4 linked regions of the Stegostoma tigrinum genome follow. The protein of the gene in region 1 interacts with the protein of each later gene in a pairwise test. Links are inferred from orthologs where the notes say so. Each region holds a gene or a part of one and is shown in the gene's direction. Other genes may lie near its edges.

Region 1 (7,900 bases):
AGGGATACTTGGATACTGAGGGAGGTTGTGAATTTAGTCTAAAGGAAAAAAAGAAGCATATAGATCAGACAGGACCCATGAGGAATATAAAGAAAGCAGGAAAGAACTTAAGCAGGGAATTAGGAGAACAAAAAGGGGCATGAAATCACCTTGGCAAGTAGGATTAAAGAGAGTTCCAAGGCATTAAAAACAAGAAGATAACTAGAGAGAAGGTAGGGCCACTCAAGAATAAAGGAGGGAACTTGTGCTTGGAGGCAGAGGGTGTGAGCGAAATCCTAAATAAATTCATTGCGTTAGTATTCACCCAGGAGAAGGAATGTGGAGGATTGTGAGATTTGTGTAGAGCGTGCTAATATGCCAGGGCATTTTGAGATCAAGAAGCAGCATTGGGTCTCTTGAAGGGCATTAAGGTGGATAAGTCCCCAGGCCCAGAGATATCAACTTCAGGTTTTGAGAGAAGCAAGACAGGAGATTGCTGATGTCTTGACCAAGATATTTGTATCCTCCTTCACCACAGGAGAGGTCCTAGAAAACTGGCAAGTAGACAATGTTGTTCCTCTATTCAAGAAAGGAAATAGGGACAATCCAGGAAACTATAGACCAGTGAGTCTCACATTGGTGGATGGGAAGCTATTGGAGAGAATTCTTAGGGACAGGATTCACACACATTTGGAAAAACATGTCCTAATTAGGGACAATCAGCATGGCTTTGCGTGGGGCACCCTGCTTGATCAATTTTTTCGAGGAGGTGACGAAGGTAGTCAATGAGGGTAGAACAGTGGATTTTGTCTACATGGACTTTAGGAAGGCTTTTGAAAAGGTCCCTCATGGTAGGCTCATCCACAAAATTAAAATGCATGGGATCCAACATGACTTGGCCATGTGTTATGCAGGGATCTGTACTGGAACCTCTGCTATTTGTGATATACATAAATGACTTAGGTGAAAATGCAGATGAATGGGTTAGTAAGTTTGTAGATATTACAAAGACCATGGAGTTGTAGATAGTGTGGAAGATTGTCAAAGGATACAGCAGGATATAGATCAGTTGCAGATATGGGTGCAGAAATGGTAGATGGAGTTTTATCCAGGTAAGTGTGAGGTGCTGCACTTTCGGAGATCAAATGTTAAGGCAAAGTATACAGTTAATGGCAGAAGTCTGAACAGTATTGATGTACAGAGGGATCTTGGGGTTCAAGTCCATAGCTCCCTGAAAGTGGTAATGCAAGTAGATAGCGTGGTAAAGAAGGCATATTGTATACTTGCCTTTATTGGTCAGAGAATTGAGTACAAAAGTCAGGATCTCATGTTGCAGCTTTATAAGATTTTGGTTAGGCCACACTAGGCCACACTGCATTCAATTCTGGTTGCCACATTATAGGAAGGGTGTGGAGGCTTTGGACAGGGTGCAAAAGAGGTTTACAGGATGCTGCCTAGATTGGAGGGAATGAACTATAAGGTGAGGCAAGAAAAACTTGGGTTGTTTTCTCTGGAGTGGCAGATGCTGAGGAATGACAGTCAGAACCATTCTCCCAGTGTTGAAATGTTTAAAATTGAGGAATGCGTTTAAGGTGAGAGGGGAAAAGTTTAAAGGAGATGAGAGGGGCAAGTTTTTTACACAGAGTGGTAGGAGCATGGAACACACTGCTGGGGTAGTGGTGGAAGTAGAAAGGATAGGGACAGTTAAGAGACTTTCCGATAAGCACATGAATATGCAGGAAATGGAGGGATATGGATCAATGGCAGGCAGAAGGGATTAGTTTAATTTGGCGTCATGTTTGGTACAACATCGTGAGCCAAAGGTCCCATTCCTGTGCTGTACTGATCTATGTTCTATGTTTAATATCCTTTTGGTAATGGTATTTAGTAAAGGGTATGTGTAGCCAACTGTAACTCTCAAAGGGCATCACGAACGCGGTTAGAAAACTGCTCCTTTCATTGAGCTTCACTTGCCAGTCATGAACCTTTGCTTCTTGGGTGATGAAGATTTTCACATTTGCATGTTGTGGCAAAATCCCTTTGACTGTAGCATGGGTTGTGATATCACTTCAGGGCTCTATTTCAATCCTTTGGGTTGATTCATACTCTCAATTTTCCAGGTTGTTTCACTGCCAAAATGCAGCAATCCACACTGTAGGAGCTGTCAGATTCTTGATTACTCCCTTTTTCCGGGCTCCTCCCTCTTGTGTTTCAGCCTGGCTTTGCGGGAATTGGTTTTCCGTTCTCATCTGCTTCAAGGTGATATTCTCCTGGAAGACAGCCTTGCCTTGCAAATACATCAATGTACTCCTCTGCCATTTCTTCTACATCAATGGTTTAGTGTACTGTGACGTGTGACAAATGTCTTTGGTACATTGAGGCTTATCACTCCAAGCTTTAAATTTGCCTTGTTGAAATAAGTGTCATATGCTATCTATCTATGATCCGGAACTCAAGATCCTCGATCATTTTGTTGCAACCATTCACAAAGTAACCTGTCCTCTTGGCAAGATGATGGTGCCATGATATAGCCTTAACCTTATTTTGAGGGTTTCCTTAATTTTTGGATCACCGCATTTAACCACTTCCTACAGGTCAATGAGGTCATGATGCACCAATATCTATCTGATACTTCATGTTGACTTGATGTTTTCCTTGTGCAGTCTTCATTCCCATAGTCACAAAGCATGTATCACTCAATAACTTGACTAAATCAACCTACTGACTGATGTAGAGTGATTCATCAGAACCTTCAGCTGACATATCTCCAATGGCCTTCTGCACTTGCTTCTTTTTAGCCATACATGTGTTTACAATGATTCGGCTTCTTGCAGTGAAAACACAGCTTTCTCCACAATGGCCATGCCTCTTCTTCTTTGCATTATGTCCTCTCTGGTACTTTCAAACTGCAATTTTTCTGTAATTGTTCTGTCCTGTCTACCTAGAGTATCTATCAGTGCAATGCTGGAAACCTAGTTTGTTTTGCCATTAATATCCTCAAGCTACAAATTCACAGCCTCAGCACGTCTGCACTTGTCAATTCTCTCTGGAATGTAAGTTTCTCTTGTCTCAGTTGGTGTGTTTTCACTTCTGCATCTCTTATGACTAATACAATCCTGTTTAAGGGGATCATCTTTATTTTGCAACTATTCATAGGTTTCTGCAAGCTGAGTTAATGATGGTACATATTAATCAATGATCTGTTTGTACATTATTCCCTCATTTTAAATATGTGTTGTTTTTCTGTAACATTCACTTAATGCTCAAAGCATGTCTCCAAAGTTTATAAAATTTCTGCCTTTTTTTTCTGCTCTGCAGCAAGATTTAGAGTGGAATATGTTTTGAAACAGTGATAAAAGTATAGTCACTTGTAACCATTCTGTGATAATAAAATGTGACGCTGGATGAACACAGCAGGCCAAGCAGCATCTCAGGAGCACAAAAGCTGACGTTTCGGGCCTAGACCCTTCATCAGAGAGGGTCTTCATCATGATGAAGGGTCTAGGCCCGAAACGTCAGCTTTTGTGCTCCTGAGATGCTGCTTGGCCTGCTGTGTTCATCCAGCCTCACATTTTGAGGCCTTGTTATCACATAGCTAGCCATTACACACTATCTATTGTTAGGCACTAACAGTCTCCGTTAACAGCTGTTGACCCTCTTCGCAAGATTGTTATCAACGGTTTTGTCTATCCAACTACTCTGCTCTCTACTGGGCTCTACCCTTTATCCTGTTTACTCCCTACACCCTCCCCCCTCCCTATCTTCTGCACATAAACCAACATTTTCATCGGTTCTGAGGAACAGTCACCAGACCCAGAATTTTAACTCTGATTTTTTTTCTACACAGATGCTGCCAGACCTGCTGAGCTTTTCCAGCAACTTCTGTTTTTGTTCCTGATTTACATCATCTGCAATTCTTTCAATTTTATTTACCCGATAAGAGATATTTGGGGGATGCAACTCCTGTGGAGGAGGAGAGAAATAGGAGAAGATTTAGGAGAAAGAGAAAGCTTTGCAAAATGCATTCAGTCCAAATGATTATTTTTGTATGCTTCAAATTTAGCTATACACATTTTCCTCGAGGGTAGTTCTGTGACTCATTGCCAAGAACGTCTTGTAACTGATCATCCAGAAATAATCTTGTTTGCACACATCTCCCCCTGCTGGTTATTCAGCATTGAAGCAGCCACGTACAGTTTTAAATACATTTTCCAAGGTAAGTTCACTTTAACCGAAACCGCTAGTGAGGGGTGTTGCTTCATGGAAGCATAATACAGTGCAGCACTGATGACTTGACTCCTACTCCCTTTAACTGAGACAACTGCACTTTGAGTGTGGAATCACTGAATTCAGCTCAATCTTTGCAAAGCAACTGTACATATTTAGTTCTTTCATGAACGGAAGTCATGCCAACTTAACTATAACTATGCCGGACACTGAGGAATGCTGAAATGCCAACATCGCTGCACAAGTGAGACAGAATCTGACTGTTTCTGTTCACTTGCTTGGTATCTCACTAAGTGCAGATTCAAAGTGGGCGGCATCCCCGAAGTGTTTCTAAGAGAGGGTTCAGTGAACTTAGACATGTCATCGTCAAAGGTTCAGCTCCACAAGTTTCCAACCTTTTTAATGTAATGGCATATAGTGAAATCAGGATGAAATATCTGCTACCTCCCTTCTTCATAGTCCAATCAAATGAAAGGGAAGGATGATTCCATTGATTTACGCATGATTGCCAATTGCTTTAATCGTAACTGTAAAAGGGGGAATTGGATGTATAAACTCTATAAATGAAATGAAAAAGAAATACAGAGCAATAGGAGTAAGGGAGTAGGAATAAATGACGATTCTTTCAAAGAGCTGACTCAGGCATAATGGGTCAAAAGGCTTTCCACTGTGCTGTACAAAAAGAGTTCTCAGCTTTAACACTGGGCTAAGAAGACGTAGAGGCACGACAGGATCCCAGTCAAGGGATGGCAATGAGAGAAACAGCCAGGCTTCATTCAGTGGATCATAGTCCAGTGAAAGGTAAATTTTAGCTTAGGGCAGGAGCGAGTGGCGTGAGAGGGATTTGGATATAAAACACAATCCTATTAGCTTATTGCGCAAGAAGACAGTGGATATTAACAGGAATAATGGTGATAGAAATGTGAGAAAGGATGGGGACTGCAGTGTTGTGGATAAGTTGTAGTTTATGGAATGCAAAAGCTGTGAGAACCGCAATGAGTCAAAAGCCAAGATAAGAAAGGCTAAAGAGTAGGGTGTAATCGGGTGTGAATTAAATTGATTGTTTTCAGTTTTATCGTTTATTTTACGCAGGTTTCATATTATAATTTTAACACGTTTCCTGTGTTTTTTTCCTGAGTAGATTAATGTATTTTTCTTCAAGGTTAGTGCTGTCCTCTTGTGGTTGTTTAGCTGCATTACAGAAAGGGAGTGCTCACTTCAAAACAACAGGCTCAATTTTACTAAAAATCAGTTAAGGATCAATTTTGAGGACTTTCATGAAGGGCTTCCCTTCGTGAGCTGTAGCAAGTTATCTCATGCAATTTTCTACTGCCCACTTCAGTATGGATGCTGCGTGATGCTGTGGTGCTGTGTTTTCATTACTCTTGCTCACCATTGGCGGAAATACTCTCCACTGCCAAGATTTCCGTCTGCGGTGCCCTATTTAGAGACGAGCTGTTTACCGGGACAATCACTGCCAGCCACAAATACCCCTTCACTGCACTGTAATTGGAAAGGAAATGAGAAAGAAAATATTCTGAGGGCACATAGGTGCCATGGTAACACTTCATTGTGAGTGGAAGCAAACACTTTTACTATTTTACATCATTAACTGTCTGATCAGATGTGATCGTAACTACAATTACAAGAATCAAGCTACACAGGTTACCTCATTCTTAGCACTATGCCACGCTAGAATCAGAGTGCTACTCTATCCTTAATACCCAATGTAGCAGAGCATTTTTCTATGGTTCAATGTGGGAGCTTCACATGTTGGAAAGCCTTCAAACTGTTTAAGTCATTCATGTTTATTGAATAACACGAAAAGTAAACAAAGAAAAAAGGTGCATTTATTCCTGGGAACAAACAGGGTGTGACTTAGTTTGAGCAACAGCAAATTTTCAGTCAATGAGTGATCGCTCAGCTCACATCTCTTGGAAGGCAGGTGTCAATTAAGGCTTGTCTAACTTATCGTACCCAACGCCACTTTGCTTTATCACACTGAAGATGATATTTCACCTGCTCAATGTCCTCATCTCCTCCTCCTCAGTAGACTGATTCCCCACTCCAAACTCTTCAACATCCCCTCACATCCCCTCTTTCATCTTCTCCCGTTGTGCAGAGCATATGCTTGGATTATATGCATGGTCTGTCTGGAACGAACTGCAAGGCCCCCTATACCAATCCAAACAATGGAGCTTCATTTTTGGGTAGCCTGTCATCTGCTCCATAATGGCCCTGGTGGAAGAATAGGTTGCACTGTATCAATATTTGACCTCAGCCAGGGAGATGCAGAATGGAGTCACTAGCCGTGGTTGTAGGGGTTAGCCTTTGTCTCTCAGTAGCAGCCTTGGAAGGTATCCAGCCCTTAAAATGAAGTGAAAACATGAAGTTCTCAAAGATAGAGGCATCATGACAGCTCCCAGGGTACCTAGTACAGAATTCAAAGAAGTGGTACAGCAGAACACTTTTTTGTTGATGAAGTCAGTCATGTTATGATAATGATGCTCTCAGCATAATATGTTTACAGTTTATAGTGCCATGCACCTGACGAAAGCCAGCTACATTGGCGATGCCTACCACCTGGGCTACAGCATTGATCTTGTCACGGGAAATGAGATGAAATGTGTGATCTGGAAGAAATTGCATCAGTAACAACCTTGATACATTTGGGGTTGAGAAATTGAGAGATATCATATTGTCGATTCTTGGAAGCTGCTAGGTGCATAAATGTTTAATGTTCCCTTGTTGGCCACTGGGATACGATGGTCATCCATCCCTTCAGGTTGCAAGTTCTGCTTCAGCAGATGGTACAGTTCAGTGCCCTAGAACAGTGTTCTGGCATGCCCACAGGTAGAGGTGGCAGTGCACTCTGCTCATTTAGAGAAAATAACATTGAGGACAATAGACACAAAACATCCTCCTTTCTCTGCATCTTGAGGGGAACTTCAGTGGTGACTTCTTCAAAAAGAGAATATTTGACTGGAGCTGGAGATTGCTTACTGGCACATTTTTTTCTCCTTGATTTTCTGCACCTTTGTTGCATTACAATTGCAGTACTGGTTGTGCTGCTGTGGTTGGATCCATTGGTCTTGGTTCCATGAACCTCTTTGGGGAATATCAGAAACAGAACAGAACTGTGTGAGCAGTCAGCATTTGCATCACATATAATGACAATTTAGTACAGTTCTCCTTACAGTGGGATGTGGTGGATTCTGACAATGAGGACCATGAAATGCCTTGACGTAGACCTTTGACATAGTGGACCTTATTCTGATGTATGCAACAGGAACCAACCCCACATCACCTAAGGAAGGCAGCATTGCATGTAAGTTGTTGTTGGCAAACACTTGCTTCAAAGTGAGAAGAAATCAGCTCTGTGCCTTTGAGACCATAGACTGTCTTTGTGCTTTGTGGTCTGCAGGTCATGTGTGATTATTTCTCTTTCATAGAAATGACTATGATATAATAATCCACAATATGGTCCAAATTGCTTGTGGCCAGGGTTTGTATCCTGCAAGTGGAACTATGATTTTATAATTACAAATGTCTTTAAACTGTACTGTGTAAGTGCCTAATTAATGCAATTTCTCCTTGAGGGGCTTCACATTTCAAAAAAATAGAGCCAATATGCTCAAACTGAAAAAGAAATACTCACTTTGCCTAGATAACAAGGTGTGGAGCTGGATGAACA
Region 2 (7,817 bases), on another chromosome or scaffold:
ATATTGAACAGGTTTCTAAGAATAAGGTGAATTTAGTTGCATTGAAGAAAGGCATCATTTGGACAAACGGAAACAGAGCCTTGCACCTCAGTGGTAGTGTCCTTAACTCGAAGGGCAGGGGGTTCAGATTTAAATCCATGATGGCTACAGAGGGATGTCATAACAAGTCCAAACAGATTTTTATATTTACAAAGCAGGCTTCGGTGATACTGTAATCTCCCCACTTCCGGACCAGGAGATCCAAAAGCCATCTACCCTGGAGGTGTTTCATAACCTATACAGACAGATAGGCTTCAATATATTGTGGTAATCGGGGGGCTCAGGTTAATAGAGTGGGAACTGCTGAGGTTGCGGCTCATTCACTACATTGACCAGAGAGCCTAGATATTTTTAATCAATTTATTCAGTCACATTATAACACATCTCTGGAGCTGGTGGTTCATGAATCCAGACCTTCTGGCCCATTGGTAGAGACAGTACCATTGTGCAACAACAGCTCCTTGACCAGGCAGTCTATCGTGTTTCTAAGTAAGCATTTATCTGTTAAGGGACTTCTGACGCTGGTTAGCTCAGGTGGTTAAGAGTGTGTGTTAATAATACTAGGGTTGCAAGTTCAGTCGCTGCATTGGCCAGGAAGCCTCCAAGGGTTCTAGGGAAGCATTTATCCTATAAGAATCCTGTGGTGTATAGTGACAGCAACCCTATCTCTGTCCCAGAACATCTGAGTTCAACACCCACTTTCCTACAGGTGAATCATAAAATGCCCAGATGAGTTGACTTAAAATGAACAAAAAGCAGACTTCCATCCCTTACTTTTTAAAGTGAAAAACACTGTACTAAATTCTCACAGAAAGTGCTGGAGAAACTCAGCAGGTCTGGCAGCATCTATGGAGAGCGAAACAGAGTTTTGAGTCTAGAGATAATGGGAACTGCAGATGCTGGAGAATCCAAGATAATAAAGTGTGAAGCTGGATGAATACAGCAGGCCAAGCAGCATCTCAGGAGCACAAAAGCTGACATTTCGGGCCTAGACCCTTCATCATCTAGGCCCGAAACGTCAGCTTTTGTGCTCCTGAGATGCTGCTTGGCCTGCTGTGTTCATCCAGCTTCACACTTTGAGTCTAGAGAATTGTCCTTGGAACAGGACTCCCCCTTGGACTCTAAACACTAATCCTATTTTTCTCTCCACAGACTTGCTGAAGTTGCCCAGTACTTTCTGGTTCTATCTCAGATCTCCACCGTCCATTGCTTTGTCTAAATTCTCATTCTATTCTAACAGATATTCACCCAACATTTGTTATGTTGCAGAATAGAACTTCTGCTGAACACGCGTCCAATATCCTCTCCTCCTACTCTCCATAGCAGATCCATAACAGCTTTCATTTTGACCTACATTGGCTCCCTGGTGTTTCTAACTTAATTGTCTCACCCTTATGTTCAATCCCTCCCTTCCTCTAGAATTTTCTCCAGCTCTATAATTCACCAAGGTATTCCTCTAATTCTTGTCTCTTGCACATCCTCAACTTTTCTCACCCATCCATTTCTGGCCAGGTCTTCGGCTGCCAAGGTCTTAAACTATGGAATTTTTCTCTCAACCACCTCTCTTTCTCGCTCTGTCCTGCTTTAAATCATATCCCTCAACAAAGATAATGGTCACATGTCCAGAATGACCCGGGGTTTCTATGGGGCATCTTTTAGCACACTAAATGGTGCACATAGTTACCATTTTTATAAAAGTGAAGGTAGCTTTACACAGTTTACCTGCGGCATGATACCGACAGGAATACTGTAGCGCTCCTCACTCAGGAGCGAATGTGCTTTTAGTTAAATTTATCACATCACTAGGTCTCCAACCGATCTTTGAATGTAACAACAATGAGCAATTATACGGCACCTATGGTTCAGTTAAACATCCCAGGGTGATTCGTAGATGAAATTTTCACATAAAGTCTGACACTGAGCCACATGAGGATACAGGAGAGTAAGTGAGCAAAAGCTTGGTCGATGAAGGTGGGTTTTAAGGAGCTTCTGTGACAGAACTTCCAACGGCAGCTGGCAAATATGTGGGAAGGCATGCTCAGAGGCACTTGAGGAATAGTGCAAAAAAAAATCAGTCACTATGTGGCAATAGTGAGGGGGTGTTGGCAGGTCAGCCGTTGCAAAGACCCTCTGGAAAATAAGCATCTTTGGGGGAAAGAGATAGTAGGAACTGCAGACGTTGGAGAATCTGAGATGACAAGCGGGCTTTTCTGCCCATTTCTGAAGAAGGGTCCAGGCCCGAAATGTCAGCTTTCCTGCTCCTCTGATGCTGCTTTGCCTGCTGTGCTCAACCGGCTCTACACTGTGTTATCTTTGGGGAAAGAGTGCCCATGGGATGACACAGCTGACAGACAAAGGATTCCTCAGCCCAAAATAAACAGCATGCTTTATTCCAAGTAATTATTGAAAATACTTCCAAGTTTAAACTTATTTTCCCGTCATGTTTGCAAATGAACGGATGCTGATGAAGGGTCGAGGCCCGAAACGTCAGTTTTTGTGCTCCTAAGATGCTGCTTGGTCTGCTGTCTTCATCCAGCCCCACATGAGGCATTCCACTCCCTCACATCCCAGATGTCCACGTTCTTCCAGGACCGCAACTTTCCCCCCGGCAGTGGTCGAGAACGCCCTTGACCGCGTCTCCCGCATTTCCCGCAACACGTCCCTCACACCCCCGCCCCCGCCCCCAGAGGATCCCCCTCGTTCTCACATACCACCCCACCAACCTCCGGATACAATGCATCATCCTCCGACACTTCCGCCATCTACAATCCGACCCCACCACCCAAGACATTTTTCCATCCTCACCTTTGTTTGCCTTCCGGAGAGACCACTCTCTCCACGACTCCCTTGTCCGCTCCACACTCCCCTCCAACCCTACCACACCCGGCACCTTCCCCTGCAACCGCAGGAAGTGCTACACTTGCCCCCACACCTCCTCCCTCACCCCAATCCCAGGCCCCAAGATGACCTTCCATATTAAGCAGAAGTTCACCTGCACATCTGCCAATGTGGTATATTGTATCCATTGCACCCGGTGTGGCTTCCTCTACATTGGGAAAACCAAGCGGAGGCTTGGGGACTGCTTTGCAGAACACCTCCACTCGGTTCGCAACAAACAACTGCACCTCCCAGTCGCGAACCATTTCAACTCCCCCTCCCATTCCTCAGATGACATGTCCATCATGGGCCTCCTGCAGTGCCACAATGATGCCACCCGAAGGTTGCAGGAACAGCAACTCATATTCCGCTTGGGAAGCCTGCAGCCCAATGGTATCAATGTGGACTTCACAAGCTTCAAAATCTCCCCTTCCCCCACCGCATCCCTAAACCAGCCCAGTTCATCCGCTCCCCCCATTGCATCACAAAACCAGCCCAGTTCTTCCCCTCCCCCCACTGCATCCCAAAACCAGCCCACCCTGTCTCTGCTTCCCTAACCTGTTCTTCCTCTCACCCATCCCTTCCTCCCACCTCAAGCCACACCTCCATTTCCTACTTACCACCTCATCCTGCCTGCTTGACCTGTCCATCTCCCTGGACTGACCTATCCCCTCCCTACCTCCCCACCTATACTCGCCTCTCTACCTATCTTGTTTTCTCTCCATCTTCAGTCCGCCTCCCCCTCTCCCTATTTATTCCAGTTCCCTCTCCCCATCCCCCTCTCTGATGAAGGGTCTAGGCCCAAAACGTTAGCTTTTGTGCTCCTGGGATGCTGCTTGGCCTGCTGTGTTCATCCAGCTCCACACTTTGTTATCGTAAATGCTGACTGTTGCTAATTTAACCTATTAACCTGTCATCCAAAGCATTTGTCAGGCTATAAATCCCATTTATTGGACAGATTGCAGCACTTGGATGACAATCATTCGCTAGTCTTGTCAGTAGAGCACAATAAGAGGTTTGTTTTCGAAAGAATCAGCTATTAGAAGGATGTAAGATACAGGAGCAGAATTAGGCCTTTCGGTCCATCGGGTCTGCTGTGCCCATCATGGCTAACATGTCTCTCAACCCCATTATCATGCCTTCTCTCTGTAACCCTTAATCCCCTAAATAATCAAGAATCACCGTAAGTTCATGTTGACATTCCTAAATTCCACAGTGCAGTTGCAAACTTATAACAAATGCAGGTCCATAAGGCCTGTTTATTTTCATACATAACAGCTACTGGGAGTCCCTCTGTGTATAATGCCCATTCAGTTTACTACAGAAAGGCCACGCAAAGCGTGTAGATACGTGGGCCAGCTTTGCAAAGCAAGGAGCTGGAAAAACGTTTGAAATCTTTCACTGCCTGTGTCTGCGGCAAGTCTAGACCTTCCATCCCATCCCTTGCCCCCTATGATTCAATGCCACTTTCTTGAGCTATTTGCGGTCCGCCTGATGCAAGAAGAGCCTTTAACTCCAATCGATTATAATCGTGGGCAATGCAAGCTCACTCAATGCATAGAATGGTAGCCAGAAGAAGTCCATTCGGTCCATCGGGCGCATGTTGGCCTTTTGAAAATGGTGCTCAACCAGTTTCCCTTGCAACTGCCCATCGGTTACTTTACCCACTCCTGTTCTGAAAATGGTGAATCAATCTGGTTTCAGTGCTCCTTCAGACAGTGAGTATTGCAATGAAAGGCTCTGCAGGGAACACAGCAGGATCAGAGTTGGAGAGCTCGGGAGAACCGGGCTTTTGGGAACTTGCGACCAGGAAGTGTGCAGCAGGAGGAGGTTTTGCAATCGCTCGGGGGTGGTTCTGGCAGTCGCACAGACACACCTCAGTTACAGGCAGGAGTAGCAGCTGGAACCTGCAATGGTGAGCAGCCGGGACCCTTTCTTCCGCACGGTGCTGAGCCAGGAGATCCTCTCTGTCCTGGACTCCAGCCTCGCTGTCCCCTCCGATGAGAAGCTCCGCTTGTCCCGCCAGGATGACAAGAACTTCCGAATCCGGCAGCAGGTCAGCCTCAGCATGTCCCGCAAGAACAGGAGGGCATCCACAGGTAAAGGGGCATCCGCTGGTCCCCGGAAGAGGGCACACGTTCTCCTCCGGAGGGGCTGTCCGATTCACCCCCTCCTCCCCACCCCCCCCCCAAACTTTGGTGGCTGGATGCTTGCGAGGGGAGAGTCTGTCCCCCTGGGTGGGGAAGTGTACGAGGGAGAGTCCGTCTTCCCTGGGGGAGAGGGGAGAGTCTGTTCCCCCTGGGGGAGAGGGGAAGAGCCTGTCCCCCTGGGGGCGAGGGGAAAGTCTGCCCCTCTGCGGGGTGGGGAAATCTGAGAGGGAGAGTCTGACCGCTGGTGGGGGGGGGGGGAAGAGTCTGTTCCCCTCGGGTGGGGATGTGTATGAGGGAGAGTCTGTCCCCTGGGGGAGAGAGGAGAGAGTCTGTCCCCCTGAGTGGGGAAGCATATGAGGGAGAGTCTGTTGCCCTGGGGGAGAGGGGTAAAAGTCTGTCCCCCTGGTTGGGGAAGGACATGAGGGAGAGTCTGTCGCCCTGGGGGAGAGGGGTAAAGTCTGTCCCCCTGGGGGAGAGGGGAGAGTCTGTCCCCCTGGGTGGGGAGGTGTACAAGGGACAGTCTGTCCCCTGGGGGAAGAGGGGAATTGTGTGTCCCCTGTGGGGGCGGGGGTGGGGAAGTCTGAGAGGGAGAGTCTGACCATTGTGTGGGGGGGCGGGGAAGAGTCTGCTTCCCTGGGTGGGGATGTGTGAAGACTTTGCACCCCCCACCCCCAAGGGAGGCGACGGGTATCTGCATGGAAGGGGTGTGTTGAGGGTGGGGGGGTCTATCCCCTGGGGGAAGGGAAGTCTGTGTTGCTGTGGGAGAGGGAGTCTCTGTGAGAATCTACACCATGATTCCCAAGTATACTCGAAGGTCAGATGCTGTAGTGCTGGTAGCAGTATTTTGTATGTGTGAGAATGTAGTGACAACACTGAAACTGTCACAGAGGCAGCTATGTTTTCTTTTCAACAAAGTGTTGAGAAAAACCCATGGGAGGACTGCTGTTGGTTTTTTTTCTTCCACTCACTTATCTTCCTCAGTGTGGACTTGCTGAATGAATGTTTCTCCCTCTTATGGCTGTCTTTTAGATGTGACGTTAAAGGTCCCTCAACTTCCCTCTCATATTGTGTAAAAGATCCCATGGTCACTGTCGCCTCAGCTTGCATTGTGACTATAGCACAGAAATGGATCTTTTCACACAACTGGCCCAGGCTGGTGTTTTTGTTCCACATGAGTTTCCCCAACATTGCTTTATTTCTTTCTGTCAGTGTAGCCTCCCTCTGAGTTCTCCCTCATGTTTATCCAGCTTCCCCTCTAATGTGTCAATACTGTCAGCTTCAATCACTTCCTATAGTAACAGGTGTTTTACCCTGGTCACTTTGTAGGTAACAGGTGCTGTGCGGGTCTGTATTAAACTCAAGAAAGTAGGTGACGGCCATTCGCTGGTTCATTTCTTAGGAAAATGCCATGACCAGGCAGAGTCAACCTGCCTCCTTTAAAATGTAAACAAAGCCTGGCAGTTAACTGTCAATCATTATTAACTGGTTTAAGAAAAACAAATGAAATGCAGACGCTGTAAATCAGGAACAAAAACAGAAGTTGTTTGAAAGGGTCTGCTGGCCTGGCAGCATCTGTGAAGAAAAATCAGAGTTATTCTCTGATTCTGAGATAACAAGGTGTAGAGCTGGATGAACACAGCAGGCCAAGCAGCATCAGAGGAGCAGCAAGGCTGATGTTTCAGGCCTAGACCTTATTCCAAAGAAGGGCCTAGGCCCAAAACGTCAGGTTTCTTGCTCATCTGATGTTGCTTGACCTGCTGTGTTAATCCATCTCTATACCTTGTTATCTCAGATTCTCCAGCATCTGCAGTTCCTACTATCTCTGAAATTTATTCTCTGATTCGGTTTTTTTTCTCCACAGATGGTCCTCAGCCTGCTGAGTTTTTCTAGCAACTTCTGTTTTTGCCCATTATCAACTGCTACATTTATCTCTGGCAACACCTCTGCCAACCAATCAGCGCTCTCTGCTCATACAGTATAATGTTGGCTTCCCTTTAAATCTGTATTCTTGTGATTTGTCCTGATGAGTGCAAGATGAAAAGCTTCGATAAAATATGCCATTTTAGAGCAAAACTCAAGTTTAACATGAAGGTATAAATGATAAAAATTGTTATGTGGCCCACGATTGCCCTTGAGAAGGTGGTGCTGAGCCACTTTCTGAAACCACTGCAATCCATGCAGTTTAGATGCTCCACAACATGATGGACAAAGGAGTTCCAGGATTCTGAACCAGTGGTAATTAAAGAACAGATGTAGCTGCAAGTCAGAGATGCCAACGTTTACTGCAGTGGTAAATTAGCCCCAACCCATCACTGATAACAATCATTACTTTGGCTCCTGCTGTGCTGCATGTTAATTGCATATGTCTATGCCTGCATTTTGCATTGCAGCCTTGTCACTCGTCAGCTCCATTCCATTGAGAATCCATGCTGTGTTGTCGAGTTACGCTGTTGTGGGGTCTCTTCATCAGTCTGGCTCCATTAAAAATCCATTTCAGGTTGTCCTGTCAAACTTGCAGCGTCCAGCTGATCTCACTGGGTGGAAACCCTGAATAGCTCAATGAAATACTAACATCTGAATTTTGCATTATTTGCGGATTAATGACTTTAGTATGAATAAGCAAGTCAGGGAGTAATTTTGGAGGGATACAAAGGGCTGCAGATACAAATTAGGGAGCAGGCCACCCTCCTACAATGTCTCTAAACAAGAGCAGGTAATTCTGTTCTTAACTGCAATCTTTCGCCATCTCTG
Region 3 (6,947 bases), on another chromosome or scaffold:
CGCCTAGCGGAACTCGTCCTCACACTCAACAACTTCTCTTTTGACTCCTCCCACTTCCTACAGACTAAGGGGGTGGCCATGGGCACCCGCATGGGCCCCAGCTATGCCTGCCTCTTTGTAGGTTACGTGGAACAGTCCATCTTCCGCACCTACACAGGCCCCAAACCCCACCTCTTCCTCCGGTACATTGATGACTGTATCGGCGCCGCCTCTTGCTCCCCAGAGGAGCTCGAACAGTTCATCCACTTCACCAACACCTTCCACCCCAACCTTCAGTTCACCTGGGCCATCTCCAGCACATCCCTCACCTTCCTGGACCTCTCAGTCTCCATCTCAGGCAATCAGCTTGTACCTGATGTCCATTACAAGCCCACCGACTCCCACAGCTACCTAGAATACACCTTCTCCCACCCACCCTCCTGCAAAAATTCCATCCCCTATTCCCAATTCCTCCGCCTCCGCCGCATCTGCTCCCACGATAAGACATTCCACTCCCGCACATCCCAGATGTCCAAGTTCTTTAAGGACCGCAACTTCCCCCCCACGGTGATTGAGAACGCCCTTGACCGCGTCTCCCGCATTTCCCGCGACACATCCCTCACACCCCGCCCCCGCCACAACCGCCCCAAGAGGGTCCCCCTCGTTCTCACACACCACCCTACCAACCTCCGGATACAACGCATTATCCTCCGACACTTCCGCCATTTACAATCCGACCCCACCACCCAAGACATTTTTCCATCCCCACCCCTGTCTGCTTTCCGGAGAGACCACTCTCTCCGTGACTCCCTTGTTCGCTCCACACTGCCCTCCAACCCCACCACACCCGGCACCTTCCCCTGCAACCGCAGGAAATGCTACACTTGTCCCCACACCTCCTCCCTCACCCCCATCCCAGGCCCCAAGATGACATTCCACATTAAGCAGAGGTTCACCTGCACATCTGCCAATGTGGTATACTGCATCCACTGTACCCGGTGCGGCTTTCTCTACATTGGGGAAACCAAGCGGAGGCTTGGGGACCGCTTTGCAGAACACCTCCGCTCAGTTCGCAACAAACAACTGCACCTCCCAGTCGCAAACCATTTCCACTCCCCCTCCCATTCTCTTGATGACATGTCCATCATGGGCCTCCTGCACTGCCACAATGATGCCACCCGAAGGTTGCAGGAACAGCAACTCATATTCCGCCTGGGAACCCTGCAGCCATATGGTATCAATGTGGACTTCACCAGTTTCAAAATCTCCCCTTCCCCCACTGCATCCCTCAACCAGCCCAGTTCATCCCCTCCCCCCACTGCACCACACAACCAGCCCAGCTCTTCCCCCCCACCCACTGCATCCCAAAACCAGTCCAACCTGTCTCTGCCTCCCTAACCGGTTCTTCCTCTCACCCATCCCTTCCTCCCACCCCAAGCCGCACCCCCAGCTACCTACTAACCTCATCCCACCTCCTTGACCTGTCCGTCTTCCCTGGACTGACCTATCCCCTCCTTACCTCCCCACCTACACCCTCTCCACCTATCTTCTTTACTCTCCATCTTCGGTCCGCCTCCCCCTCTCTCCCTATTTATTCCAGTTCCCTCCCCCCATCCCCCTCTCTGATGAAGGGTCTAGGCCCGAAACGTCAGCTTTTGTGCTCCTGAGATGCTGCTTGGCCTGCTGTGTTCATCCAGCCTCACATTTTATTATCTTTACTTCAGGCCTAGGTCCTTCTTCAGAAAACAGATTAGTGCACCTTCACTGTACTCCCCACAACAGCAAATTTTTTTCAGTAAAGAGAGACCAAAACAGCACATTATTCCACATGTAGTCAAACCAAAACCCCGTATAGTTATAGTATGGCTTCCTTACTCCTGCAATGAACGTTAACTTACTATTTTCCTTCCTAACTGCTCAGTAAAACAGTGTAAAAAGGATCGAAAACAGGAGTTGCTGGAAAAGCTCAGCAGGTCTGTCAGATTTTTTTCTTCACAGATGTTGCCAGACTTGCTGAGTTTTTCCAGCATCTTCTGTTTTTGTTCCTGATTTACAGCATCTGCTGTTCTTTCGGGGCATTTTTTTAAGTGTAAAACAGATGCCCAGACCCTTCAGACACCCAGTTCCCAATCTATGACCCTTCAAACAATACTCTGTGATTCTGATTTTTTTCTGCCAAAGTGATCAACTTCATACTTGTCCATGTTACACAATTTCTCCAATGTAATTTATATTTCCTCATTCCTGTAAATGCCTTAAGTGTGGCGCTGAGAATTGGATGAAAAACTCCAAACTAGTAACTTATACAGCTCTCATAACTTCCATGTCTTTGTACTCTATGCTGCATTTATGAAATCTAAGATCCCATATATTTTGCAACTCCCCTGCCACCCCACAGCCCGATTCTCCCCTTTAAAACTGTAACCTTCATTTTATATTGCCACACTGCATTCTCCTCAAAATGAATCACTTTACACTTACCTGCTTTCACTTTCATCTGCCATTTTAATGTAACCTGTATTGAGGATTATATAGAGCAAAACTAACTAATTGATTTCTAATTGTACCAAAACTGGGAAAATCAACAGCGTACCCGATGGAGAAGCAGAGAATCATTGATAGCAATTTCTGAACTTGTACATTTAAATGCAGACTTTTTCCAGTTTTGGAGGAATAACAACTGACAGTGCATGGAAGATGACCACCTTCAAGTTTCCATTCAACTCACAAACCATCTTGACTTGAAAATATCTCACTGTACCTATAGCAAAATTCTGGATTTCCTTAGTGACCAGTGCGGCAGATGTACAAACACAACACACACTGCAGTTTAATAAGACAGCTCACCAATACCTTGTCAAGGGCAGAGGGAGGCTGAACAATTGCTGCACTCACCTGTAACACTCTCCATTACATTACATCTATAATTAATAACATTACAACTATAAATAAATATAGAAAATAAACTGAATTCAAAATTGCCCAACCAGTATGATAGGATTTGGGGGATTCACATCCCAGATTATTAACAAACAATTTGTTTTAGAAAGTAGTTGCGGATTCGTAAGTTATGAATAATGAAAAAGTATGAAAAAGTATTTATGATAAGTCACGAAGCAAGCAGCACACCTAGTAAGGTTATGACACAATAAGGTAGACAGCAGTAAAACGTTAGGAATTCTAAGTCATTAAAGAATCAATAGTTATGATTTAGACATTGTGACGATTAAAGTCTCCGTTATGATTTATTAATTGTGAAGCAGAAAGACAGGAAAGTTATTATTTATAGCTTAAAGTTTTGAAGCAATCAGTGAGCCTCGTAATCTTACGTCCAGTTATTCAGTTAAAATGAAGCAATCAGTAAATCTAGTTAAGTTCTGCTATTACGTTATGAATCACAGTAAAACTCCGATTGCATGTTTAGGTTGTAAAACCCATTGACTAGCCAGACCCAGGATCCCACCCCCTCTCCTGACCAATCGGCTGGAGGTGGTCCGGAACCTCGGCCCAGAGTGATTTTACCCTTTGGTCAGGCTCTGGGAATTACTCACCCCGGTAGATAGGGCACGCCGAGACGCGGAGAGGGCGATCTGAGCCCGGGAGACGCGGCTGTTCCACAAGCCGCTCCATCTTACTCCCAACTGCCTGACAGCCGCCGCCATGTTTACTGTCTGTCCAGCCGCCGCCTGTACTACATTATCACCGCCTTCTGAGGAAGAGCAACAACAAGCGCGGGGCCCCCTTCAATGAGACCGAACAGCAGTAAAAGCCACGCAGGTTAATTTGAAAAGGAACGTGCTTTATTTGCTGTTATTGTGTAAAGGCGTACAGTAAGTTGTCCGTAGAATGGGGGTCCTTGGTGAGGGGCTGCTGCCCCCAGCGGAGCATGGCCTAGAGGTCCCACCCAATCTTGATTTTGACTGGTTAATATTGTGATGTACTGGTTTCTGATTGGTGGAGATCACCGTCAGTTAACAATGGAGGGGGCCTGACAGTCGGTGCTGCTTGGGATGGAGGTAGGTGCTGAGAGTCAGCAGCAACTGCGGCCTTTCGGCAGTGAACACAGTCTCTTGTCCAGGCCCGATGGCTCGGCCTGCTTCACACAAGGTAGGTGCTAGCCCTTTACCTTGGGAAGACTCTTTCAGACCCTACTCTGTCCCCCCCCCCGCTTACCCAAGTCTTATTGTAATGTGGGACACTCACTGTGGGAAGGCAGGTATGAGGAGGGTGGTGTGGGGTTGGGATTCTGGAGATTACAGATGGGGAGCTCATTTAGAGCAACAAGGAAAAATTATAATTCATTCGTCTCTCTTCTGACCGACTCTCAGACTTGCATTCCCACTCAAATTACTCAATTCTCATTCTCCCACGTTTCTGATGTTTCAGCAAGTTATCTTCTCATTCTGCTAAACTCCATTGAGTTCAAGCCCATCCTACTCAACCTCTCCTCGTCAGATAATCTTCACACACCAACCCCCTCCCCCGACCCTGATACACCAGAGTCAATTGTGTGATCTTCTGAGGACTGGTTCAATGTCAGTATATTTTCTTTTAGATAGGAATATTTATTTCTCCTAAAGTTCTGTATAGATCCGCAACTAACTCCACTGCTCCTTGCATCTCTTATCCATTCGCCACGGCCCTGTGTCAATTTCAAAATAGCCTCACAGTTTCACACACTCTCAATATCTCTGCATCAGTTCCATACACTGGTAATATTTACTGTGTGACTCTCTTTCCCCACAGCACTGTATTATCCACAGCCAATATCACTGTTTGGCTGTGCCCATTGCCCTTTATTAATCTCATGTAATCATAGAATCATTACAGTTTTGGCCCATCGTGACTTGCAGGCAATGTGAACATAGTCCATTTGGCCCAACCATCTCATGTTGAGTGTAGCACAGTGGCTCAGTGGTTAGCATGTCGCTTCAAAGCGCCAGGGATACAAGTTCGATTCCAGCTTCCAGCAACTGTCTGTGTGGAGTTTGCACATTCTCCCTGTGTCTGTGTCAGTTTTCTTGGGGTGCCCCATTTCCTCCCCCAGTACAAAGATGCGCAAGAGATAGTAGGAACTGCAAATGCTGGAGAATCTGGGATAACAAAGTGTAGAGATGGATGAACACAGCAGGCCAAGTGGCATCTTAGGAGCACAAAAGTTGACGTTTCAGGCCTAGACCCTTCATCAGGTTTCTAAGGGTCTAGGCCTGAAACATCAGTTTTTGTGCTCCAAAGATGCTGCTTGGCCTGCTGTGTTCATCTAGCTCTATACTTTGTTAACAAATGTGTGCAAATTAGGTGGGATTGCCATCACTTGAAATCTTCAAGACCCAACTTTTGATTATTCTCATTGATAAATTTTCATAATCAGGGTGGCCAACTTGGAAGGTCATCCTTGATTTCAATAACACTACCCATAGAAATGTTGGTGAAATAGATTAGACTGAGATGCCAACACAACTAAAGCAGAACCTATGATTGAAGAACATTTTGCCTACTATCTTGTGCACAATTTATGTCAATTGGACAATCTATTTGTTATTACATTGCTGTTTGTGGGAGCTTTGCACAATTTATCACTGTCCATGTTTTAACATAAAATTTAGGAGCAGGAGCAAGCCATTCAGTTCATGAACCCCTGCTCTGCCAGTCAATAAGGCCATGACTAATCTGGTGGGCATAACCTCCATTTTTCCTGCTCATCTCCCTTAAGCTTTGAGTCCATTGTCAAACAAACATCTGCCTAACTCCAACTTCAATGTATTCAGTGACCCAGCTGTGACTGCTCTCTGGGGAGAGAATTCTGAAAAAGAAATTCATCCTCATCTCCATCTTAAATGAGAGATCTTTGTTCTCCGTTCTCCCAGGAATAGAAAGATCCTCTTGGCATCCACCCATGTCAAACTCCCTCAAAGTCTCCCTGGTCAATAGGTCATAACAGTTGCTGCACATCAAAAGTAACTAAAGTGCTTTATGGTGCCATTTGGTCATGAAAGGTGTTCAGCTATTTAAACATCAGTCCATTTTAAATCTTGTAAATGCCTCAGTGATGTGGAACTAGCTTTTTTCTAATTAAAAATTCTGCTAATTTTCTTACTTGTGAAGGAGCAACTGTGTCTATAAAGTCACATTAACCCTTTGTTGCAATGCTCCCACTAAGCAATGCCAACCTATGTTTACAACCTTTTGGATGCTTTCTTTGTAAACTTAAGGGGACACGACAGTCCTGGCTGCAGTGTATGGACCAGCAGAAGTAAAAGTCAGCAAAGAGATCTTCGACAAGGCCACGCTAGATGTCCTCCTAAAGCCAAAAGTTGGATTGCCAAGTAAGTGATGACCTCGTTCTTCAAGGACCGCAACTCCCCACACCGCGGTGGTCGAGAACGCCCTTGACTGTGTCTCCCGCATTTCCTGCAACTCATCCCTCACACCCTGCCCCCGCAATAACCGCCAAAAGAGAATCCCCCTAGTCCTCACATACCACCCCACCAACCTCCGGATACAACACATCATCCTCCAAGACTTCCGCCATCTACAATCCGAACCCACCACTAAAGACATTTTTTCCATCCCCACCCTTGTCTGCCTTCCGGAGAGACCACTCTCTCTGCGACTCCCTTGTCCGCTCCGCACTCACCTCCAATCCCACCACACCCGGCACTTTCCCCTGCAATCGCAGGAAATGTTACACTTGGTCCCACACCACCTCCCACTCTCCCCCAGGCCCCAAGATGACTTTCCACATCAAGCAGATGTTCACCTGCACATCTGCCAGTGTGGTATACTGCATCTGCTGAATTCGGCTTGGCTTCCTCTATATTGGGGAAACCACGCGGAGACTTGGGGACTGCTTTGCAGAACACCTATGCTCGGTTCGCAATAAACAACTGCACCTCCCAATCGCGAATCATTTTAATTCCCCCCTCTCATTCCTCAGATGACATGTCCATCCTGGGTCTCCTGCAGTG
Region 4 (7,606 bases), on another chromosome or scaffold:
TATATGGGGAACTTGGAGTGACAGTCTCGGTTGCAGCGACTGCATTTGAAGACACTCCCCTCCAGTGTTGCCATGTTGCTTTTTTTCCATCAAGCGCGCTTTTCCTCGGTGGCAAGCCTCAGTTTCTCCTCTCCTCGCTCCAGCCCTCTGCTTAGTTCCCGTCTCTAGTGTGAACAATCTTTTGTGACGTCTTCCCATCTTTCATGTGAGTACATGTGACAATAAAACGAATGCTAAGGACTTTAAATAAATGCAAATTATTAATGGTCTGACTCCTCAAGCCAAGGAAATTCACCTTTCTTAATGCTTTGTGCTCACAATACAAGGCTGGTTGGAAAGATAAACTGTGGGGAGGACTAAAAAAGACAGAGTTTAAGTGAGTGGGTAACAAGATGGTAAATTAATTTTATTGTTGGGAAGTGTGAACTTATTCAGTTTCACCATAAGAGCAGAAAACTGGAACATGCTTTAAAAAGTTTGAAAGGTGTCAGCATTGATGTTCAGAGAAACTTGGATGTGTACATTCGAGAAACACAGAAAGCTAGCATGCAAGCAATTAGGAAGGAAGTTTGCATGTTGGCCTTTATTATAAGGGGATGGAATGCCGCGATAATGATGTCTTGTCACAATTGGATAGCGCTTTGGTGAAACATGTATCTAGAATACTGAGTACAGTTTTGAATTCCGAAGCTGAAAAAAGATCAACTTGCATTAGACGTGGCACAGCAAAATTGATCCCTGGAATGAAAGAGTTGTCCTATGATGAGAAGCTGAAAATATTGGATCCATTTTACTCAGAGTTTAGAAGAATGAGAGGCGATTCCAGTGAACCATGCAAGATCCTGAGGGAATGACAGGGTGGAGGCTGAGAGATCATTTCTGCAGGTTGGGAATCTAGAACACAGAGGGCACAGTCCTAAGACATGGTGTCAATTGTTTAGGACTGAGAAAGGAGGAAATGTTTCCACTGGAAGCGTTATGAATCTTGGTATTCTCTCAATCAGTGGAATCTCCACTGCTGAATACATTTAAGATTGGAATAGACAGCTCAGGCAAGCAAAGAATAATTGGGAATGGGTGGGAAAGTGGAGTTGAAGTCAAAGATCAGACATGACCATATTGAATGGCAGCCCCTACATCTACTCCTGCTCCTATTTCTTCTGTTCTTATGTTCTCATTGTTTCTTACTCTGTTTCATACTCTCTGGCTTGTATTGTTTAAGACTCAATTAACCTGGAGGATTGGCAATGGCTGTTCTCTCTGCAGTTGCCTCATGAATGGGTAAATTCAGAACATGATCATGAAAATTAGTGATGAGATTGAATTACAATGATGAAAGTACCACATCCTGGTGAAAAGTGGATTATCTGCATCTTGTCCAGTATAGTCATATGTTTGTTGGCTGTGTTCAACTGAATTTGTGATTTCCTCTCCCAGTAGGTGAGGTTTCTGGCAGACAACACCAAATCAGCTGCTGGGATATTAAAAGGAGGTGATAGCCTCACCTATTTCCTGGAACGTCAGGGGGGAAAACCAAAATCTCCCTACTCTAGAAGTCATGATTATATTTTAAGCGGTTGACGTGATCAATTGTGGTTCCATTCCTCTAAGTTAGAACATCAGGCAGCTGTTCATTTCCAACAGTGCCACCAACTGTAGTGGCCGTACCTGGGACTGCAGCAGTTCCTGGAGCAGTGACTCTATGGATCTAGGCCTTAGATATAGCTAAGTCGGTATAGTACTCAATAGAGCCAATCAGATCAGCCTGGTGAGGAGGTTGGAGTTTATTTCAAGAGTGGGGAGAGGTTGCCTTCTTATAGGTGTCAGATTTCACTGAGCAATCTCTCGAGATGGCAAAGCACACTCTTGTACCAGTGCCAGTGGGAAGAGGGCCTTTGTGCTCATTAATTGGTGATGGGATCCAGATGACATTTTGGGTAAGCAGGTTCAAATCCCTAGATGGCTAATGGCAGAATTTGAATTTAATAAAAATCTGAAATTAAGAACCTAACAATGACTGTGAATCCATTGGTGATTGTTGGAAAAATCCATCTGATTCGCTAATGTCTTTAGGGAAGGAAACTGCCATCATTACCAGGCCTCGCCTACATGTGACTCCAGACCCACAGCCAATTTGGTTGACTCTTAACTGCCCTCTGGGCAATTAGGGTTGAGCAATAAATGCTGGCTTGGCCAGTGACACCCTTATCCCATAAATTAATTTGAAAAGGGCCTCAATTGCCATTGGACTAGGCAGGCCACCTGCCTCTGGTAAAATACCAGTGGTTAGGATACAATGGATATAGCTCCCTCTGCCAAATCATGTGATTATTTTGCCACTATCTGTGTACCCCGAAGCCTTGTACCAGGATGTGCGGGATACCAGGGTTGACCCTTTAGATACAACCTGTGCAATTTTTTGGCAGGCCTCTTAAAGTCCTAAGGGAGGTGAAATATTTGGAACTGTCAGATAAGGAATATCTCATTAACTGTCTTAGCAACGGATCAAACACAAAATGCAAAAAACCAGTTCAGAAGGAATGACATGTGAAAGCAAGAAGTGAATCATTTCAAATGCTTGATGGACGAAGAAAAATAAAATATAAAACATACCAGGTTTTGAGTAGAGTCATAAATAGCAACATGGATTTTAACATAATGAAACGTCCCAAGCCACTTAAAACCTCCTTTCTACTGAGAATTGTTAGGCCATGGACTTCATTTCCCATGTTTGTGGCCATGATGGAAACTGGGAAAGTGATCTGCACAAAGAGCATGAACTGGACCCGGAATAATCCTCGTAGAGTTTTACTCTACTCTTGATTTTCACATCCACTGAAGCTACTTCAGTTATGATCTCAATCTGCTAAACTGGATCACTTCAACATGACCCCCATATGTCAATGTTCAAGATTTTGATTGGGAGGGGGGTGAAGGAAAAAGGGGTTGAAATGACCTGGAACAATGTGGGTGATTAATATTAGAACACAGAGAATATGGAATGTGTGGTTGGGCCAAATGACCTTCTTCCAAGGTATCACTGATGTCAGAATATAAGAACTAGGAGCAGGAGTAGACCATTCAGCCCCTCGAGCCTAATCTGCCATTTGATACAACCATGGCTGATCTCATCTCAGCCTCAATTCCATTTTCCTGTTCGCTGTCCATAACCTTTAACTTGTTATTAATTAAAAAATATGTTTATCTCCTTAAATTTACTGCTGTCCCAGAATCCAATACACTCTGGGACAGTGAATTCCACAGATTCACAGGTCCTTTACAGAAGTAATTTCTCCTCAACTCTGTTTTAAATCCACTACCTCTTATCCTAAAACTATGACCTCTCATTCTGGATTGCCCAACATGGGGAAGTATTCTTTCTACTTCTACTTTGACCCCTTTACTACCTTATAAACAATCAATTCAATCTCCTCTTTTTCTGCTAAATTCCAGAGACAATAGGCCTAAACAGCTCAATCTCACTTCAAAAGACAAACTTGTCATCACTGGAATCAATCTAGTGAATCTCCTCTGAACTGTCTCGAATACAGCTACATCCCTCCTCAAGTAAGGGGGCCAAACTTTTACATGATGCAGTCTTACTCATGCCTTGTACAGTTCAGGCAAACTTCCTTTAGCAGTAAGTTCCAAATTTGAGTGTATTTCTGTGCATATTCTACCAGAACCTTTCTAAAGGACATCTTGGCCTGTAGGAACATTAATATTATTTTTCTTGCACATAATATTTAGGTTGTACCTTGTTCTTGTCTAATTTTGAGTTGTATACGTGATAAGAATATTGTGTCAATTGTAGTTTAAATTACAAAATATAGCACACCAATGTGCAATAATTGTTTATTTTTAAAAAATAATTACATCTCCAAGGAACAATACATCACAAATTGTGCCTTGAGTGAGCAAATGAACGTCGTTTTGCTTGCTGAATAACTTGTGTGCTTTTTTTCCACTAAAAATACATGCTTGGCTTTAGTGTTCCTCTCTGCATGTGGCAGGCTGACTGAATCACACCTCTGTGTCAGATCTGTTTGCTTTGGGCTGTCTTTCGATGCTGTAATTCACAGCAGGCATACCACTACATAGAGTTTATTCAGAAGCATCTACCCAGAAGTGCTCTGGCATGCTGCATGAAAGGCGTTATTTACTTGCGTCAAGCAAGTCCAATTGATGGGAATATTTTGAAATCCCAGATGAAAGATGCCGATTAAGAGGCAGGAGTGCAGGTGAGCTTTTTACATGCCTCCTCCAACATGGGCAGTGACTGTAGCACAGGAGAGCACGTCTGCAATTATGCTGAGAAATTTGACAAACATCTTCCCAACCTGACAGCACAGAGTTAAAGCTTTTCAACTGTGGTACACGTTAGTGAGAGTCCCAGGCAAAGACCGTGGTCTCCCATTAACTTGTGTTGTGGAAACAGGACCACAATTCAGCTCAGGAACTGTAAAATAACAGAGCTCTTTCATATCCAGCTGTGAGGGTGGTAATTGGAACAGCCAAATCTAAATCATACACGACCTCTGACTAGGGGGATAAAAACTCTCCATTTCTGTTCAGGCGTGACACTAGCTTCTGCAACCATCACACTCAGCTGGAGTGTGGCCAGTGAAAAGCAAACTGAAACCCACAGATCTGCCAAAATGAGGGCCAAACAGAAGCAGGAAAGGAATTACACTGCTGATGGTCGATGAGATTACCCAAGTGATGGTAAAGAGAGGAGCTGGTTAAGATTGAGTCCTGTGAGGGTAAGTCAATTCTTAATGTTCTTGTACAAAATTTACTCGGAGCTCCCTGCTGTGGAAACTGAGTGAGCAGAATTGGTTTGTTGTAACTGTATTAGACAGCTCACACATCCCATTAATGCTTAAATGGCTTAAAGGTGGTGAGAACGGCAGATCTATGGTTGAGAGGAGCATTAGGATTGAACTGGGACTAAGGTGCAAAGTAACGGCTGACTGTATAGGAGACTGAGCCAGGAGTTAAGGCAAGTACAAACACTTAGCTGATTCTCTCCATTCTTCATCCAAGAATATTTTAAAAGTGCCTTTCCTCTGAAAATGTAACATTACCACTCTCTCTTCAATTGCTGAATTTCACCATTTGGTTATTTCTCCTCTTCTTCTGTCTGTTTCTGCTGAGCTGTTATTTCGAGGATACAAGGACATATTCAGATGAATGTATTAACATCACTAGGGAGGAAGGGCATTCCTGATTCCCTGGCAATATGCATTCTTAAAACAGTAGCACTAGGAATAGAGCAACCACACTTTCTTCTGTTACTCTTCATGGAATTTTGCGGCAAACATATTAGATGCTCGATTTTGCATACTTTATAGTAATTGCCCTTTAAAAGTACTTCATTGAATGTGGAGAACTGTGAATGCCCTGAGTTTATGAGTGGAGAAATCTGAATGCAGCTATTTCTTTTCTGTTTATCTTTATGGATCCGCACTACCCACATTTTGTTTGGAGTGGGCAGGGAGCCTGTATCAAGAGACATTAATCTCATGCTGGTATGGGACAGACTAAATGAATCAGCTGGTCCTTTCATGCCTCACAGCTTTTCCTATGTTTGTGGTTTCTCTACTGGTTATTGAGGGACTTACAATCTCTTCAGTTTGAGAAATCCTTGTGTATATTCAAACATGAGTAGACCATTCAGTCTAGACCAATGTGAACTTAACTTTACCATCCCATTTTTTTCTCCATATCCCTCAACACCCTTGCTTAAATAAAATCTATCAATCTCAGTTTTGCGATTTTCAATTGACCCCTATTCTCAACAGATTATGGGGAAGAAAATTTCAGGTTTCCAGACTTCCACAACCTTTTGCAGGTAAAAAGTGCCAACTGGCATCATTGCAAAGCTTTGCTCACATTCTAAGGTTCCTTCTTCTTTGACTGGTGTCCAGCATTCGAGGAAGTATGTCCTCTCTCTCTTTCTAGTTGACCAAATCCTTAATAAAATTAATTTTAAGCCAAATTTCAAGTTTCCATCTTAAAATGTCCAACTGATGCTAGTTGAAAACTGTTCAGCATTGATTTTAAATTTTTAATGACAGTATTACAGTAACATGGACAGGAAAGTTCTTACCCTGTCATTGTTTTTATCTTACATGACTTTTTAAATTGATAATTAACATGTGCTTACTCAGTCACATCTGGTTATCATGCCTGTTATTCAAGCCTTTGTCATCTGATAGAAATACAGATGCACAAACATTAACATGTCATTCAAGAGACCATCTGGTACAATGTAAATGTAGGAGCAGATCCTGACTGTGCGATTGTGTAAAGCAGATGATAGTGAATCAACATCCTGGGTTACATGAAGCCAATGAATGTCAATTACCACTCAGAGCCAAGGTTCATTCATAGAGTCTGTAAATTGTGGAAGCAGGCCATTTGGCCTACTGAGCCCACACCAACCCTTTGAAGAGCATCCCACCAGGACCCATCCCCCTTCCCTATCCCTGTAACTTTGTATTTTCTGTGGCTAATCCACTTAGCCTGTACATCCCTAGGAACTATGGGCAATTGACCTAACCACATCTTTGGACTGGGGGAGGAAACTGAAGCTCTGAAACCCATGCAGATGGTGGAGAATGTGCAAACTCCACATGGACAGTCGCCCAAGACTGGAATTGAACCGGGGTTCCTACTGCTGTGAGGCAGCTGTGCTGACCATTGAGCCACCATGCTGCTCCAACTAAAGTCTAAAAGTATTAGAGTTTTTTTCATTCGCTGAGAGTGGACATTATATGCAAAGCTGAAATTATTACCCATCTGTAGGCACCTTGAGAGGCAGCTTGATATGACTGAGTGCTAGGTCATTCAAAGTGCAGCTAAAAATGAACAATATTAGAATCAAACTGATGACCCATATAGGACACACTAGATAAAGATCGCTAGTTTCCTTTCTGAAGGACGTTAATAAACCAGATTCAACAGCTTCGTTGACACTTTTACCGATACCAGCATTCAGTTCCCAGAATTTTAAAACTGAATTCATATTCCCAAATTGGCAAGTTGGGATTAAACTCATACTGTGCAATTTATTTTTCCAGGCCTGAGGATTTCAGGTCTAGGAACACCAACATATCCATAGTTAATCTACATGTGATCTATTATTTTCAGAACAAGTATTATTTACACTTGGCAAAAACAAATTTCAAATTTGGCTACTTATCATGTCAACATAGGAAAATCATTCACTGATCTAGAGAAATTAGACCAACTGTGGAACTGAGAGACCTATGATTCATAACTGTGCTTATAGCAGGAACTGACCCTATTCTCTCCATATTCTGTTAACTTTGCCTGTTTATTTTTCATGCATTCATATGGAGCTTTCAATATAGAAGACTGTGCCAAGGTGCTCCATAGAGTGTGGAGCAAAAACAAATTCTGAGCCAAAGAAAGCAATATTCAGAGAGGTGACCAGGAAAGGATCTTAAAGGAGAAGACAGAATTGGAAAGATGGGGGAAGGGCACAGACAGAGTGCTAGAGCATGGAGCGCAGAGATCTGAAACATGAGGAGAGGGATCGCTGCACAAGAGGAGAGTCAGAGGCATGGGAGGCCTGAGC

The links.
Region 2: the proteins of doublesex- and mab-3-related transcription factor 1Y-like (region 1) and plakophilin-2-like interact in a two-hybrid assay, tested with the Homo sapiens proteins (2 studies listed by BioGRID). The link is inferred for Stegostoma tigrinum from reciprocal best matches to the Homo sapiens genes DMRTB1 and PKP2.
Region 3: the proteins of doublesex- and mab-3-related transcription factor 1Y-like (region 1) and exosc5 interact in a two-hybrid assay, tested with the Homo sapiens proteins (2 studies listed by BioGRID). The link is inferred for Stegostoma tigrinum from reciprocal best matches to the Homo sapiens genes DMRTB1 and EXOSC5.
Region 4: the proteins of doublesex- and mab-3-related transcription factor 1Y-like (region 1) and il16 interact in a two-hybrid assay, tested with the Homo sapiens proteins (2 studies listed by BioGRID). The two-hybrid records come from large-scale screens. The link is inferred for Stegostoma tigrinum from reciprocal best matches to the Homo sapiens genes DMRTB1 and IL16.

What each region holds. Positions count from the first base shown.
Region 1 is NC_081361.1:42,266,115-42,274,014, reverse strand, and holds the start of doublesex- and mab-3-related transcription factor 1Y-like, read left to right. Parts: upstream 1-4,895; 5' UTR 4,896-5,007; intron 5,008-7,900.
Region 2 is NC_081371.1:46,427,620-46,435,436, reverse strand, and holds the start of plakophilin-2-like, read left to right. Parts: upstream 1-4,797; 5' UTR 4,798-4,828; coding exon 4,829-5,015; intron 5,016-7,817. UniProt on the Homo sapiens protein: A component of desmosome cell-cell junctions which are required for positive regulation of cellular adhesion.
Region 3 is NC_081392.1:8,365,731-8,372,677, forward strand, and holds the start of exosc5 (exosome complex component RRP46), read left to right. Parts: upstream 1-3,943; 5' UTR 3,944-3,989; coding exon 3,990-4,086; intron 4,087-6,191; coding exon 6,192-6,305; intron 6,306-6,947. Other genes in the region: bckdha (2-oxoisovalerate dehydrogenase subunit alpha, mitochondrial), read right to left, coding at 3,531-3,641. UniProt on the Homo sapiens protein: Non-catalytic component of the RNA exosome complex which has 3'->5' exoribonuclease activity and participates in a multitude of cellular RNA processing and degradation events.
Region 4 is NC_081386.1:4,862,448-4,870,053, forward strand, and holds the start of il16 (pro-interleukin-16), read left to right. Parts: upstream 1-4,603; 5' UTR 4,604-4,763; intron 4,764-7,606. UniProt on the Homo sapiens protein: Interleukin-16 stimulates a migratory response in CD4+ lymphocytes, monocytes, and eosinophils. Primes CD4+ T-cells for IL-2 and IL-15 responsiveness. Also induces T-lymphocyte expression of interleukin 2 receptor. Ligand for CD4.